3 linked regions of the Cricetulus griseus genome follow. The protein of the gene in region 3 interacts with the protein of the main gene of each other region in a biochemical or structural test. Links are inferred from orthologs where the notes say so. Each region holds a gene or a part of one and is shown on either strand. Other genes may lie near its edges. The genes, in order: Uspl1, Ranbp2 and Rangap1.

Region 1 (4,500 bases), on a different chromosome or scaffold from region 3:
CAACTATTAAAATACACTTGGTAGTTGCAGATGTTTGCAGCACATGCTTGGGTAATGAAACCTGTTGTCTACCTTCTGGTCCTTCCATCACAACAGTTGCTGTCCATGTTTTAGGCATCTGTAGTTCTGGGCTAGGGAAGGACAGGACCCTGAGAACAGGCTTGGTCTAGTGAGGAGGCGGGAAGCAGTCTGTGGTCTGTGTCCTGGGCCTTGTTAAACCCTGAGGATCAGAAGGAAAGAAACCAGTTGGAATAGGGCTGTAAGAATGGGATTGCCTATTAAACTGCCTTCTTGATCTCAAAGCTAACACTTTTAAGGACAGCAGAATCCCTACCATCTCTAGTCTTAAAGTTGCAGGAGTTTTATGCAAGGATTAGACTAAAGGTTGAGTTAAGTGGGGAGGTTCAAAGTTGGTCCTTTACCCTGTCTATCAAATCTGTTGTGCGCCGTAGAGTTGGTGAGTCCAAATAGAAGTGGTATTTTAATGGTTAAGACCAATTCTGATGCGATTCTCTAATGTTTTCACTAACTTTCAGTATTTGTAGTAAACCATGTTCATGGTTCTTGTTTTAAAGTACAGGGATATAGTTCTGAGGAGTTTCCCTTTCTGACAGGAAGGCAGTAGGAATCTCATGTGTTCTTGGATTATGTTTTCATGACATTTAAAATAGAGACTAGCATAGGAGCTGAGTTTATGCAGGCTGTGTTTGGAGAGCTGTTCTGCCTTCCTCCAGATTCACCTTGATTGACTTACTCTGCCAGGCTATGTTCACACATAGGTGTTGTGTTGTAAACTTGCTGAAGGACACCATTGACCATTTAGTGTTTCCTTTTATAGTTGCCTGTTTCAATCTCTGATCTCTCCTTTTTTCTTTTGCAGGTGAGATGGAAAGTCCTGTGTTTGCATTTCCTGCACTGTTAAAACTAGAACCCCATGTTGAAAAGCTTTTTACATATTCTTTTTCTTGGAATTTTGAATGTTCCAATTGTGGACACCAGTATCAAAACAGGTCAGTTTGGGGTTTTTAGTGAATTCTTTCTGCTGAGATGGTTTGTAACAGTGTAATTAAGTAACACATTTTGCACCTATAATATATGTCTTGGCACTTCTACCTACAATACACCTCCTTTCCCCACCCAGACAAGGTTACAGTATAGCCCAGGCAGAACTTGCTATGTAGCCCAGGTTGGTCAAGGCTTGAGGTTTTCTGCATTGGGATCCAGAATGGTAGAGGTAGAAGCATCATCTATCACCATGTCTTGGATCCCAACACCTTTTTTCTTTTTCCCCTAAGATAGGGTCTTGCTAAGTAACTCAGGCTGACCTCAAATTTGCCACTCTCTTGTCCTAGCCTTCTGGGTTCTGAAAATGGAGGCAAGGATCACAGCTGGCTTCTACATCTTAAACTCTCTCCCCACTAAAGCTAAAAGAACAGTTTGTAGCACAAGAATCTTTTAAGTTGGCTTGTTACTGTAAGTTAGCTCAAAAAAAAAAAAAAAAAAAATCCATGGCTTGAACAATGACTAAAGACATTTTCTGTATTTCCTTAGTGGGAAGTTAGAAGCAAATGAGAATAGCACCCTTCACGATCTGGAAGGTTCTTAGCTGGGCTTCTGCTCACAAGTCCCTGGAACTGTTTTGTTTACCCTCCATTAGAGACAAAGCTTTTGTTTGCTTTAGGCTTCTGTCTCCTCATCTATGGTAGCAGCCAGCAGAGGTTATCCCTGTTTTCTGGTTCAGGAGAGCAGTCAGAGGGTAGGTAAGTACTTATATGACATGCCCTCTCCTTAGTAGACCAGGGAAGATGCTAGCTGCCTGTTAAAAGATGACCTGCCAGCTGGGCAGTGGTGATACACAGCTTTAAACCCAGCACTCAGGAGGCAGAGGCAGTTGGATCTCTGAGTTCAAGGCCAACCTGGTCTACAGAGTGAGTTCCAGGACAGCCAGGACTGTTATACAGAGAAACCTTGTCTCAACCCCCGCCCCCAAAGACAACTTGCCTTGTGGGTGATTCTTAAGAATATTACAGTAGAGATTAGTCCTTCCTGTCACAGCTCACCTATGAGCAAGCTTCAACAGTTAGAAGGTAAAATGGTGTGAGGAAATTGTTTCCTAGATGGCCATGGCCTCACAAGGGTGTTCTGGACAGTATGAAAACAGTCAAAAGAGAGGTCAGTCTGGGAGAATGCTGTAGGGAATGAAGACAGCAAAGTTTGCTTCTTCATCAGTTGCTCTAAGCTGCTAGGAATGGTAGGAATTCACACTATGACTGGAAATATTTGGGTAAGCAAGTGAGTATCCCATTCCTAGCTTTCCATTGATTTGTACAAGTGGTCTGGTTTTCTCATGGAGACTCAGTGAGGAACTCACATCAGTAGCAGAATCAGGAGACCTCTAGCATTGTTTTTTGCCTCTGTGGCTCAATGGTGCTAACCTCCCTAATCACTACCTGTGTTTTTAATAATATAAACAGAGCTGATAATCAAAATCAGCTTAATTACAGCTTTTCTAGAATTCACAGCCTGGCACTTTGACAGCTTTTCATTGAGTGTGTTCTGTGTGCCAGGAGCTCACCTAGCCATTGGGAGTGATTTCTGTTGTGGCTAATTCAGATGACTAGTTGCTTAGCAAAGTAGTTATGAAATCACTGGAGAGGGCTAGTGCTCAGCAGTCAGTGCAAGCTTTTGACAGCTCTGCACTTTTGTACATAAGATGGTAAGTGGGCTTGTGCAGTGTTTGCATGGAGCTCAGAGAGAACTTCAGGGGAAGCTACCAATCACTTTGCTTTGTACCTTGTTTTTATTTCTTTAAAGGTAATTGTTAGTGGCTAGTGGTGGTGCACGTTTTTAATCCCAGCACTCAGGAGGCAGATGCAGGCAGTCTCTGAGTTTTGAGGCCAGCCAGGTCTACAGGGCTAGTTCTAGGACAGCCAGGGCTGTTAACACAGAGAAACCCTGTCTTAAAAAAACACACACATACAATAAGTAATTGTTAAAGTTTCTTTAGAATAATCTTTCATTCTAAAAGAAAAGCAATTACAGAGTCAAAGATAAGATGTGGTGACATGTAATCACTGTACATGGAGGTCACAGATACTCTCTTCTACTTTGACAGAAGCTATTGAGCCTAGTCCTTTCATTTTAGTGTCTCGGGGTTTTGTGCTAGTGTATGTAAGGCTTTTATCTGATTCAGTATTTGTGGGGAGGATAGTCTGTAGAGGCTGGTGGTCTTGATTCAGACCCCAATTTGTCTGCTGCTCATTGTCTATACAGAGGCTAGAACACTTGCCCCTTGAGAGTTGTTTGGCAGGGGAGTGCCAAGTTCTGTGCCTAATGATATGCACACTGATACGCACACTGAGTGCTCAGAAATAAATGTCAATCATCACGTGGAACGTAACATTAATTGAGTCTTTACTTAATAGTATCTCAAAGAATGATACACGTGAAATGCAGTCTGGGCATCCAGAGCAACCTGTCTGTTGCTTTGCATTTAAAAGGTTAGTTTTTCTGCAAACTGGTCAATTGTTAACCGCCAGTGATTTTCTTTGCTCACGTACCATATGCCAATATTATTTGTTATTTAGAGGAGAAAAGCTTGTGTTTCTTTGGCAATATGATACTTGTTTTAATTAAGGTATTTTGTTAAAGTTGATGCAACTGAGATTTAGTGTACACCATTGAAGATCATCTTGATTATGCTGGCAATCTAAAGTGAATTCAGTACTTGAACAACCTGTGTAAAAGCAGAAGTGTTCTACAAGGGATTTTCTTCTAATAGATATGAATTATGTACTTGGAAATACATCTTCTTTGTTGTCAGTGATGGTTAGCCAGTTTGCACTATGTACACTGAGCTTTAAATTGGATAACTTTAGAGAAGTGATGCTCACAAGAGCCTCTGATGCATCCTCTTTGGGTCTCTGGTGGTGTCTAGGGATACTGGTTGCTGCTACTGGGTACTGATCCTGGAATGTGATAAGTCGAGACTAGGATTGACCCTAAAATGTCCAGTGTGCACAGTGGGGCCTCACAATAGTTATCTGCAGTGAAGTTTCAGTAGCATTAGTGCTTGGAAAGCTGCCAGTCACCCTTTTGTGCTTCTCATAGCTGAAAACCCAGTCAGTGTGGAGTCTCCACAGTCTCCAGCTTGGCTGAAGAGGTTATCACTGTACTAATACATGAGTGGGAAATGAAGCACAAGCAAACGTTGAATGTGGTAAATTAATACAAAAGGTTCAAGTTGTGCCTGTTTTTGTAGGTGTTTGAAGAGTCTGGTCACCTTTACAAATGTTGTTCCTGAGTGGCATCCACTCAATGCTGCCCATTTTGGTCCATGTAACAGCTGCAACAGTAAATCACAAATAAGGAAAATGGTGTTGGAAAGGTGAGTTTAAATTTACATAAATTTTCAATACAATGAAGATGGGTTTACATTGTTTCATGTCTTGGAAAGGGAAATAGTGACTACTATCATTTGAAAGAACTGACTGGTAGGGA
Region 2 (3,637 bases), on a different chromosome or scaffold from region 3:
TAAAATAAACACATTCTAAAATGTATCAAATATCTTATAAAATACTTCAAGCTTCTTTTAAACTTCTTTGTAGGAGCTCAATAGCTTAGCCATTAAGAACACTGACAGCTCTTCCAGAAGACTTGAGTTCCATTCCTAGAACCCAAATGATGGCTCACAACCTGGTAACTCAACAGGTTGGAAACACCTGTTATTGATGCCAATCCTGGAAAAATTAGCTTAACACACCATTTTGTCAAGTTTTTGTCAAGGTCTTTAATAACCCTAATAGTTTGAAAAAGTAAAATTATCTCTTAAAAAGCATTTGCAACCATGCATAGTGGGTACATGCCTACAATCCTGGTGGAGGTAGTGAGATCAAGAAGAGTTCAAGTCCAGCCTAGGCTACAATGCAAGGTAATCCTGGGCTACAAGAGATGATTTTTTAAGAAGACATTTCCATTTACTGAGAAGTTTCAATACTTTTCTGTGGGTTAATGTTACACAGGTTTCCAAAGAAGCTATTAAGTATGCATGGCCATGTTTAATAAGGCCAACTTATTCCACCTGGCTGTGAAATAAGAATTTTTTAAAGTAATGTTATTTCATAATTCATTACATAAGCCATAACCTTCCTTGCCCTCTTCTAATAGTTGAACACAAGAAAATAGAAAGGACTCAATACTCAAGATTGGAAAACAGAGAATTTTATGGTCTAACTAGATTCCTTTTAGTTCTATACCGAGTAGGCCCCTCAGAGCAAGCTGTTCCTAACAGTTTGCCTATTTGACACAAACCACATCCAAGTACATTTTCAGTGTCATTTTGATGACACAGTGTGAGCTCAGAGTGCTGGCCTTCAACAGATCTCATTTTACATCAAGTCACAGAAGGAACAGACAACTTAGATGCACAAGTAATGTTTTAAATGTCATGGCTGTTATCAATTATCACTTTATTTCTGCTACAAAATTCACCAGAAAAAGGTACTGCAACAATCTAATATAAAGCAAATCTTTAACCAAAGAACATGGTATAGATCTTTTAAAAATATTCATAGTTTATCACAAGAACTAGAGAAAAATTCAATTCTATCATCAGGACCAAGCTGAAGTTTCTGAGGTAGTAGAGACAGGTAACAGAATAGTGAATGGAAAGAAGGAAGAAAAAAGGAAGAAGGAAAAAGGATGGGGGGCTATATCTAAGGAAATGATCAACTTACTTAAAATGTAAAAATTAATGTCTTCAAAAGGGAACTACATATCTTAAGAAAAGATAGTATTCTACTTAAAAGTTAATTTTTAACTATACAGGAGCATAAAAATTACAGAAGAGCACTTTGGTTAACTCATCTTCTGTGGCTCTATCCATTCATAAATGAGTCTATACATAAATGAGCACACGAATAGTTAAGATTACCATATATATATTTCAAATCTAAAATAAAATTATCTGAGTTGTGGTCCCCTTATTCAATGGTAAGTACCATGCAGGAAATCCAAATATCTTAACAGAAATTAAAATAAGATTGCATATATCATATTCCTTCAATAGTGTGAGAAGCTCTATTGCTTTCAACAAAATTAGTATTAGCCATTCTAATACAGATATGTCAGGAGTACATAAACACAAGTACACCTGAAATACACCAGTGTTTAACTTTTATTTCACACCATGCAAGATCAATTATCACACATTAAAAAGTGACAACAGCTATAAGCTACAATTTTACATTTATACATTGGAAATGTCTGTTTTCAAAAGGTGAACATAATTATCATATTGTCTGTAACAATTCAACTGTTTATATAGATAAAATTCACTGTGAAATTATTTTATAGCTGTCCACATTCTGTGATACTAATTCTTCGACTAACAGACCCTTTAGGAGAACCAAACGATTCGATCTTTCTCACAGTATCCATGCCATCCTTAACAAACCCAAATACTACATGTTTAAAGTCCAAATGTTCTGCTTTCTTCAGTGTTATAAAAAACTGTGAATTGTTGGTATCCCGGCCCCGATTGGCCATGGAGAGCAAGCCAGGGCCAGTGTGCTTCACATTAAAGTTTTCATCTTCAAATTTATCTCCATAAATGGACTGTCCTCCTGTTCCATCATGTTTGGTGATATCTCCCCCCTGGACACACACACAAAAAAATCTGTTAATACTGACTCAAACATTAAGATACATTGAAATCATCATGACAGAGTAAATCACAAATGCCCTATTTCGTTAAAAGTAATTTTGAAAAATAAGAAATACGTGTTTTGAGAAAGACAAAGGTTTTTCCCTCATAAGAAATTTGGAGCCTTTCAATCTGAATGTTTAAAGGGAGTATCAAGTTCAATGCCAGCCAGCTATGGTGTGGGAAAGTTGAAAATTCCCAAGATGAGAATGAGGGCAAAACCTTCCCCAGTTGGTGTGGTCTAGTCTTAGCCGATTTAACCATGATTTTATATATATATATATATATATATATATATATATATATATATATATATATACTAGACACTTACTTGGCAAACAAAATCTGGAACTACTCGGTGAAAAATAGAGTTCTTGAAACCAAAGCCCTTCTCTCCAGTGCATAATGCTCTGAAGTTCTCAGCAGTTTGAGGAACGATATTTGAAAATAATTCCATAATTATCCGTCCTAGAGGTTCACCATCCACACAAACATCAAAGAATACCACAGGATTGGTCTCCTTTGATAACTCTGCTGCGAGGGATACTTGTCCATTTTGGAGTTTCAATATATTTTGTTGACATTCTTCAAATTTTCTCTTAAAACACTCAGTCATTTCTTTTGTTTTAAATCTCACCGCAAGCTGTTCTACTTTTGCTTCTCCATCTGTTAAGAGGGGGGGGAGGGGCTTAATATTAACTTACAAAGCATGTATATGTTATAGATTTCAGAAAAGTCAATAAAATTAAAAGACAATTGAAGGTAGTAACTCACCAGCATAATCTGAGGCAGTCCACACTAAAGCATTATTTGAAACATTTAAAGGTTTTAATTCCATGGCTTTGGTAATAACATGGTTTGCACAAACTTTAAAAACCTGGTCTCTTCTCATTAGGATCCGATAATAATTCTTCATTGTATGCCAAAGAATCTTTATATCTCCAATACCTCTCTCCTTCCACTGATTGACATCTCTATCCCATCTATAAAGTTTGGCTCTCTCTTTGAATAAAATTTCTTCATCTTCTTCTCCAGATTTCACTTCTACCTATGACAACAGATGAGAATACCTATTATATAACACTGTTTATAACAAATACCATTAACCAATGCCAACAGGTTTTACAGTATCATGGTAACTAACAATGTCCAAGACTAGACTTGGTAAAGCAATAAAGATCAATACGTATCTTCCTATTATATAATATTTTGCTTCTCTTTGTGAAAATAAAATGGCTTTAAAGTTCAGAAGAGGTTTCAAAAGTGCTGGTTCTTGTCAAGCATGGCAGTATACACCAGTAATCCCAGCACTTGGGGTGTGGAAGCATGAGGCAAGCCTAGTCTATATGAGACCAGAAGGGATGTGGTTCTTTGCAAGGATGTGTATCAATCTAGCAAAGTAATCCAGAGCCTGAGAAGCAGGAAGATTACAACAGGTTTGAGGCCAGCCTGGGTTACACAGTGAATT
Region 3 (4,500 bases):
ATAGTCAAGAATGACCTTGAAATTTTGATTCTCTTGCTTCGATGCCTGTGCCTCTATAGCTTTCCTGAGGACAATGGCTGGGGTGATCTCTTTGCCTTTTGCAAGACTTGCTCCAAAAGGTGGCCCCCCTCTAAAGTCAGCAGGCTAGCCTTCTCAGATGGCTGTTCAAGAAAACTTATAAAAGGGCAGGGCCAGGCATGGTGATGCCCTAGTACCCAGGAGGCAGCTGCAAGAGGATCTAAGAGTTTGAGGCCAGCCTGGTCTACAAAGTAAGTTCTAGGACATCTAGGATTACACAGAGAAACCCTGTCCAACAGCTAACTACATTAAAAAAAAAAAAAAAAATCAAAGATAGATAAAGTGACCATCACTTCTCAGGTCCTCTAGTTCAAAACCCAAAGATGCTCACATTCTGCCTTCTAGGTACCCCACTCCCCTTCAAAGTTAGGAGCTCCTCTTCAGAGGTAAGGTGGGCATTCCTATTGACCTAATATAATGCTAGTGAGGTGGAAAAATTAGCCACCAGAGTATCAAAGCCAAACTCAGGGTCTCTGTCTGCTCTCTGTAGTGCTAGGCATCAAATCCAGGGCCTTGTACATACAGGTACACTGAACTGCATCCTAAGCCCAAAACTTGATTTTAATTCTACCTCTACTACTATGAGGTAGTGACTATGCCCTTAAGGGAGTTTTGTCATGTCCTCGGTTTTCAAATCTGCAAAATGGGGATAAAGCCTTCTAAAGGGAAAAAACCACATATATTCATTATTTACTGTGTTGTGTGAGTGCACACAAGCATGGAGGTCAGAGAACAACTTGCAGGGGTCAGTTCTTTGCTAGCACATGGTTCCAGCAACTCAACTCAGGTATGAAAGTGCCTTTATCCACTGAGCCATCTCTCTGGCCCAATAAGCAGCATGTGTTTTCAAATTTGTATTTACTGAATTAAGATCAGTGTCTATTCAAAAACATGGGAACAGAGAATTCAGCTGAACATCAGTAATCTTGCTATCTGTAAAATCTGTAATCTTGAGTGCTGGAGAGATGGCTCAGTGGTTAAAGGCACTGTCTGCTCTTCCAGAGGTCGTGAGTTCAATTTCCAGCAACCAAATGGTGGCTCACAACCAATTGTAGTAAGATCTGGCACCCTCTTCTGGCCTGCAAGCATACATGCAGGCAAAATACGGTATACAAAAGAAATACATAAATCTTATTTGTTAGTTTTTGTGTTTTTGAGACTGGGTTTCTCTGTGTAACTTTGTAGACCAGGCTGGCCTCAAACTCACAGATATTTGCCTGCCTCTGTCTTCTGAGTACTGGGATTATTTAGCTACCACCTGGCTAAATAAATCTAAAAAAAAAAAAAAAAAAAAAAAAAAAAAAAAAAAAAAAACGGGGGGGAGGGGGTCTGGAGAGATGGCTCAGAGGTTAAGAGGGCTGTTCTTCTAGAGGTCCTGAATTCAATTCCCAGCAACCATATGGTGGCTCACAGCCATCTGTAATGAGATCTGGAGCCCCTTCTTGGCCTGCAGGCATACAGGCAGACAAAACACTATACATAAATAAATCTCGAAGGAAAAAAAGAAACTTGTGATCTTGAATGAGTGACTTAGTCTCAATTATAGAAGAAGCATTTTTACCCTCCTCCCACAGAGATGATAATACAAATCCCAGCAAATGAGTGTAGAAGCAGGCGGATCAGGCCATTCTCTGCTATTCAGCCAGTATGAGGCCAGCCTGGTCTACAGAGTGAGTTCCAGAACAGCCAAGGCTACACAGAGAAACCCTGTCTCAGAAAAACAACTATAGGTCAGATCTAGTGGTGAATGCCTTTAATCTCAGCACTCAAGAGGCAGAAGATCTTTATGAGTTCAAGGCTAGCCTCATCCACTCAACAAAACAAACAAAAAACCCACAACAAATAAATATGGAACCAAAATAAACAAAGCAGGTGAAGTTAGGGGTTGGTATTCATAGAGGAATCTGTGCATTTCAAGGTATGGACATCCCCACCCTTCTGAGGTTCCCAAAGTCCCCTGGAGGAAGAGAATAAGTTTAATAGTGCATGAAACAATATAGGAAGTCCAAACCAGTTTCCCTGGTTGGGCCAGAACTCAAAGAGGCCTCACAAGGTCTGAAGGCAGATACTTTCATTTCTAGGCAGCAAGAGATTCTGGGTTGTCTGTGCTGCCTAAGCTTTGATCATGAGTGGGAAGACAGGAACTCTCTCTGTCCTAGTGATGTCTGGTTTCAAGGACTGGAATTCCCCATCAGGGCCCAACACCACACTTTTTTCTTTTTCTTTTAAAAGATTTTATTTATTTATTATGTATACAACATTCTGCTTCCATATATATCTGCACACCAGAAGAGGGCACCAGATCTCATAACGGATGGTTGTGAGCCACCCTGTGGTTGCTGGGAATTGAACTCAGGACCTCTGGAAGAGCAGTTGGTGCTCTTAACCTCTGAGCCATCTCTCCAGTCCTCTCTTTCTTTTTTTTTTGAGACAGGGTTTCTTTCCTTCCTTCCTTCCTTCCTTCCTTCCTTCCTTTCTTCCTTTTGTTTTTCGAGACAGGGTTTCTCTGTGTAGCATTGGAGCCTATCCTGGCACTCGCTCTGGAGACCAGGCTGGCCTCAAACTCACAGAGATGCGCCTGCCTCTGCCTCCCAAGTGCTGGGATTAAAGGCGTGCGCCACCACCACCCCAACACCACTCTTTTTTAATGCAACTCTGCCACAAGGAAGACAGTTGGCCTGGGATGGTGAGGATAAAGGTAGGGGTGGGAAGAACTCAGCCCTGAAGTCAGGGGCTAGGCTAGACAGACAAGCTTAAGACTAGTCTAGGCTATACATTGATGAAACCCTGTGAAAAGAAAAATCCACAGGCTAGCAAACACACACACACACACACACACACACACACACACACACACACACACACACACACAAAGTAACAGAAGAAGCCTCACTGTTAGAATGGACCAATGGCACTGACTTCACCTCCCAGGACAAATGATCAAGACTGAGATGGCTCAGAAAGCCCGAGGACTAACTAGTAAGCATTCACAAACACCCCCACCCCTCACACAGCTAGCCCAGGAACTCACCATCTTCGGCAGTATTCAATTTGAGACTCTTGCCCTTAAAACTCAGCTGTCCTCCGGCCACCTGGGTTTTAGCCAGGGTCTCTGCCAGTTTTGCAATGTCTTCAGAGGCCATGCTGGCAACAATTGTGGGCTGCCTGGGAGACCTGCAAACTGAAGACAGAAGCTGCATTAAAAAAGAATCTTGTGGGGCTGAAGAGATGGCTCAGCAGTAAAGAGCACTGGCTACTCATTCAAAGGACCCAGGTTCCATTCCCAGCATCCACATGGCAGCTCAAAGCTGTCTGCAACTCAGTTACAGGGAACCTGACACCCCTACACAGACATTTATGTAGGCAAAACACAAATGTACAAAAAATAAAAATGCACAGCCAAATCTTATTGTGCAGTGCCAGCCTTGTCCCTAAGACATGATGGTGAAGGTCGGGGTGAATGGATTTGGCGATATTAGGGGGCCTGGTAACTAGAACTGCCTTCATTTCTGACCAATGGATGTTGTTGCCATCATTGACTTCAACTATATGGTCTACACATTCCAGTATGACTCTATCCATGGCAACTTCAACAGCACAGTCAAGGCTGAGAACAACAAGCTTGTCATCAATGGGAAGGCCATCATTCTCTTCCACAAGCGAGATCCCACCAACATAAATTGGGGTGATGCTGTGGAGTCTACTGGGGTCTTCACCACCACAGAGAAGGCCAGGACCCACTAGAAAAGGGTGGAGCCAAAAGGGTCATCATCTCTGCTTCTTCTGCTGAAGCCTCCATGTTTGTGATGTCTCACTCAAGATTGTCAGCAATGCTCCCACACCACCAACTGTTAGCCACCCAGCCAAGGTCATCCATGACCACTCTGGCATTGTGGAAGGACTCAGGACCACAGTCCATACCATCACTGCCACCCAGAAATCTGTGGATGGCCCCTCCGGGAAGCTGTGATATGATGGCCATGGGGCAGCCCAGAACATCATCCCCGCATCCTCTGGTGCTGCCTAAGCTGTGGGCAAGGTCATCCCAGAGCTGAATGGGAAGCTCACGGGCATAGCCTTCCATGTTCCTACCCACAGTGTGTACATCATGGATCTGACATGTCACCTGGAGAAAGCTGCCAACTATGATGACATCAAGAAGGTAGTGAAGCAGGCATCCTGGGTACACGGAGCACAAGGGTTGTTCCTGCGAGGGTGGTTTTAACAGTGATGCCACATCTTCCACCTTGGATGTTGGAGCTGGCACTGCTCTCAATGACAACTTTGTAAAGCTCATTTCCTGGTATGACAATGAATACGGCTACAGCAACCGGGTGGTAGATGGCTTACATGGCCCCCAAGGAGTAAAATGTCCTAGACCAGACCACTAATCCCAGCAAGGACAGGAGAGCAAGAGAGAGG

What was found.
Region 1: of the proteins of Rangap1 (region 3) and Uspl1, one has a biochemical effect on the other in vitro, tested with the Homo sapiens proteins (2 studies listed by BioGRID). The link is inferred for Cricetulus griseus from reciprocal best matches to the Homo sapiens genes RANGAP1 and USPL1.
Region 2: the proteins of Rangap1 (region 3) and Ranbp2 form a complex in vitro, tested with the Homo sapiens proteins (5 studies listed by BioGRID and IntAct, with this or other methods). The link is inferred for Cricetulus griseus from reciprocal best matches to the Homo sapiens genes RANGAP1 and RANBP2.

The regions. Positions count from the first base shown.
Region 1 is NC_048597.1:85,015,613-85,020,112, forward strand, and holds part of Uspl1 (SUMO-specific isopeptidase USPL1), read left to right. Parts: intron 1-880; coding exon 881-1,010; intron 1,011-4,261; coding exon 4,262-4,387; intron 4,388-4,500. UniProt on the Homo sapiens protein: SUMO-specific isopeptidase involved in protein desumoylation. Specifically binds SUMO proteins with a higher affinity for SUMO2 and SUMO3 which it cleaves more efficiently. Also able to process full-length SUMO proteins to their mature forms.
Region 2 is NW_023276807.1:2,599,057-2,602,693, forward strand, and holds the end of Ranbp2 (E3 SUMO-protein ligase RanBP2), read right to left. Parts: intron 3,218-3,637; coding exon 2,944-3,217; intron 2,836-2,943; coding exon 2,501-2,835; intron 2,121-2,500; coding exon 1,815-2,120; 3' UTR 914-1,814; downstream 1-913. UniProt on the Homo sapiens protein: E3 SUMO-protein ligase which facilitates SUMO1 and SUMO2 conjugation by UBE2I. Involved in transport factor (Ran-GTP, karyopherin)-mediated protein import via the F-G repeat-containing domain which acts as a docking site for substrates.
Region 3 is NC_048595.1:378,861,918-378,866,417, forward strand, and holds part of Rangap1 (ran GTPase-activating protein 1), read right to left. Parts: intron 4,447-4,500; exon of another isoform or gene 3,595-4,446; intron 3,260-3,594; exon of another isoform or gene 3,253-3,259; 5' UTR 3,222-3,252; coding exon 3,110-3,221; intron 1-3,109. UniProt on the Homo sapiens protein: GTPase activator for RAN. Converts cytoplasmic GTP-bound RAN to GDP-bound RAN, which is essential for RAN-mediated nuclear import and export. Mediates dissociation of cargo from nuclear export complexes containing XPO1, RAN and RANBP2 after nuclear export.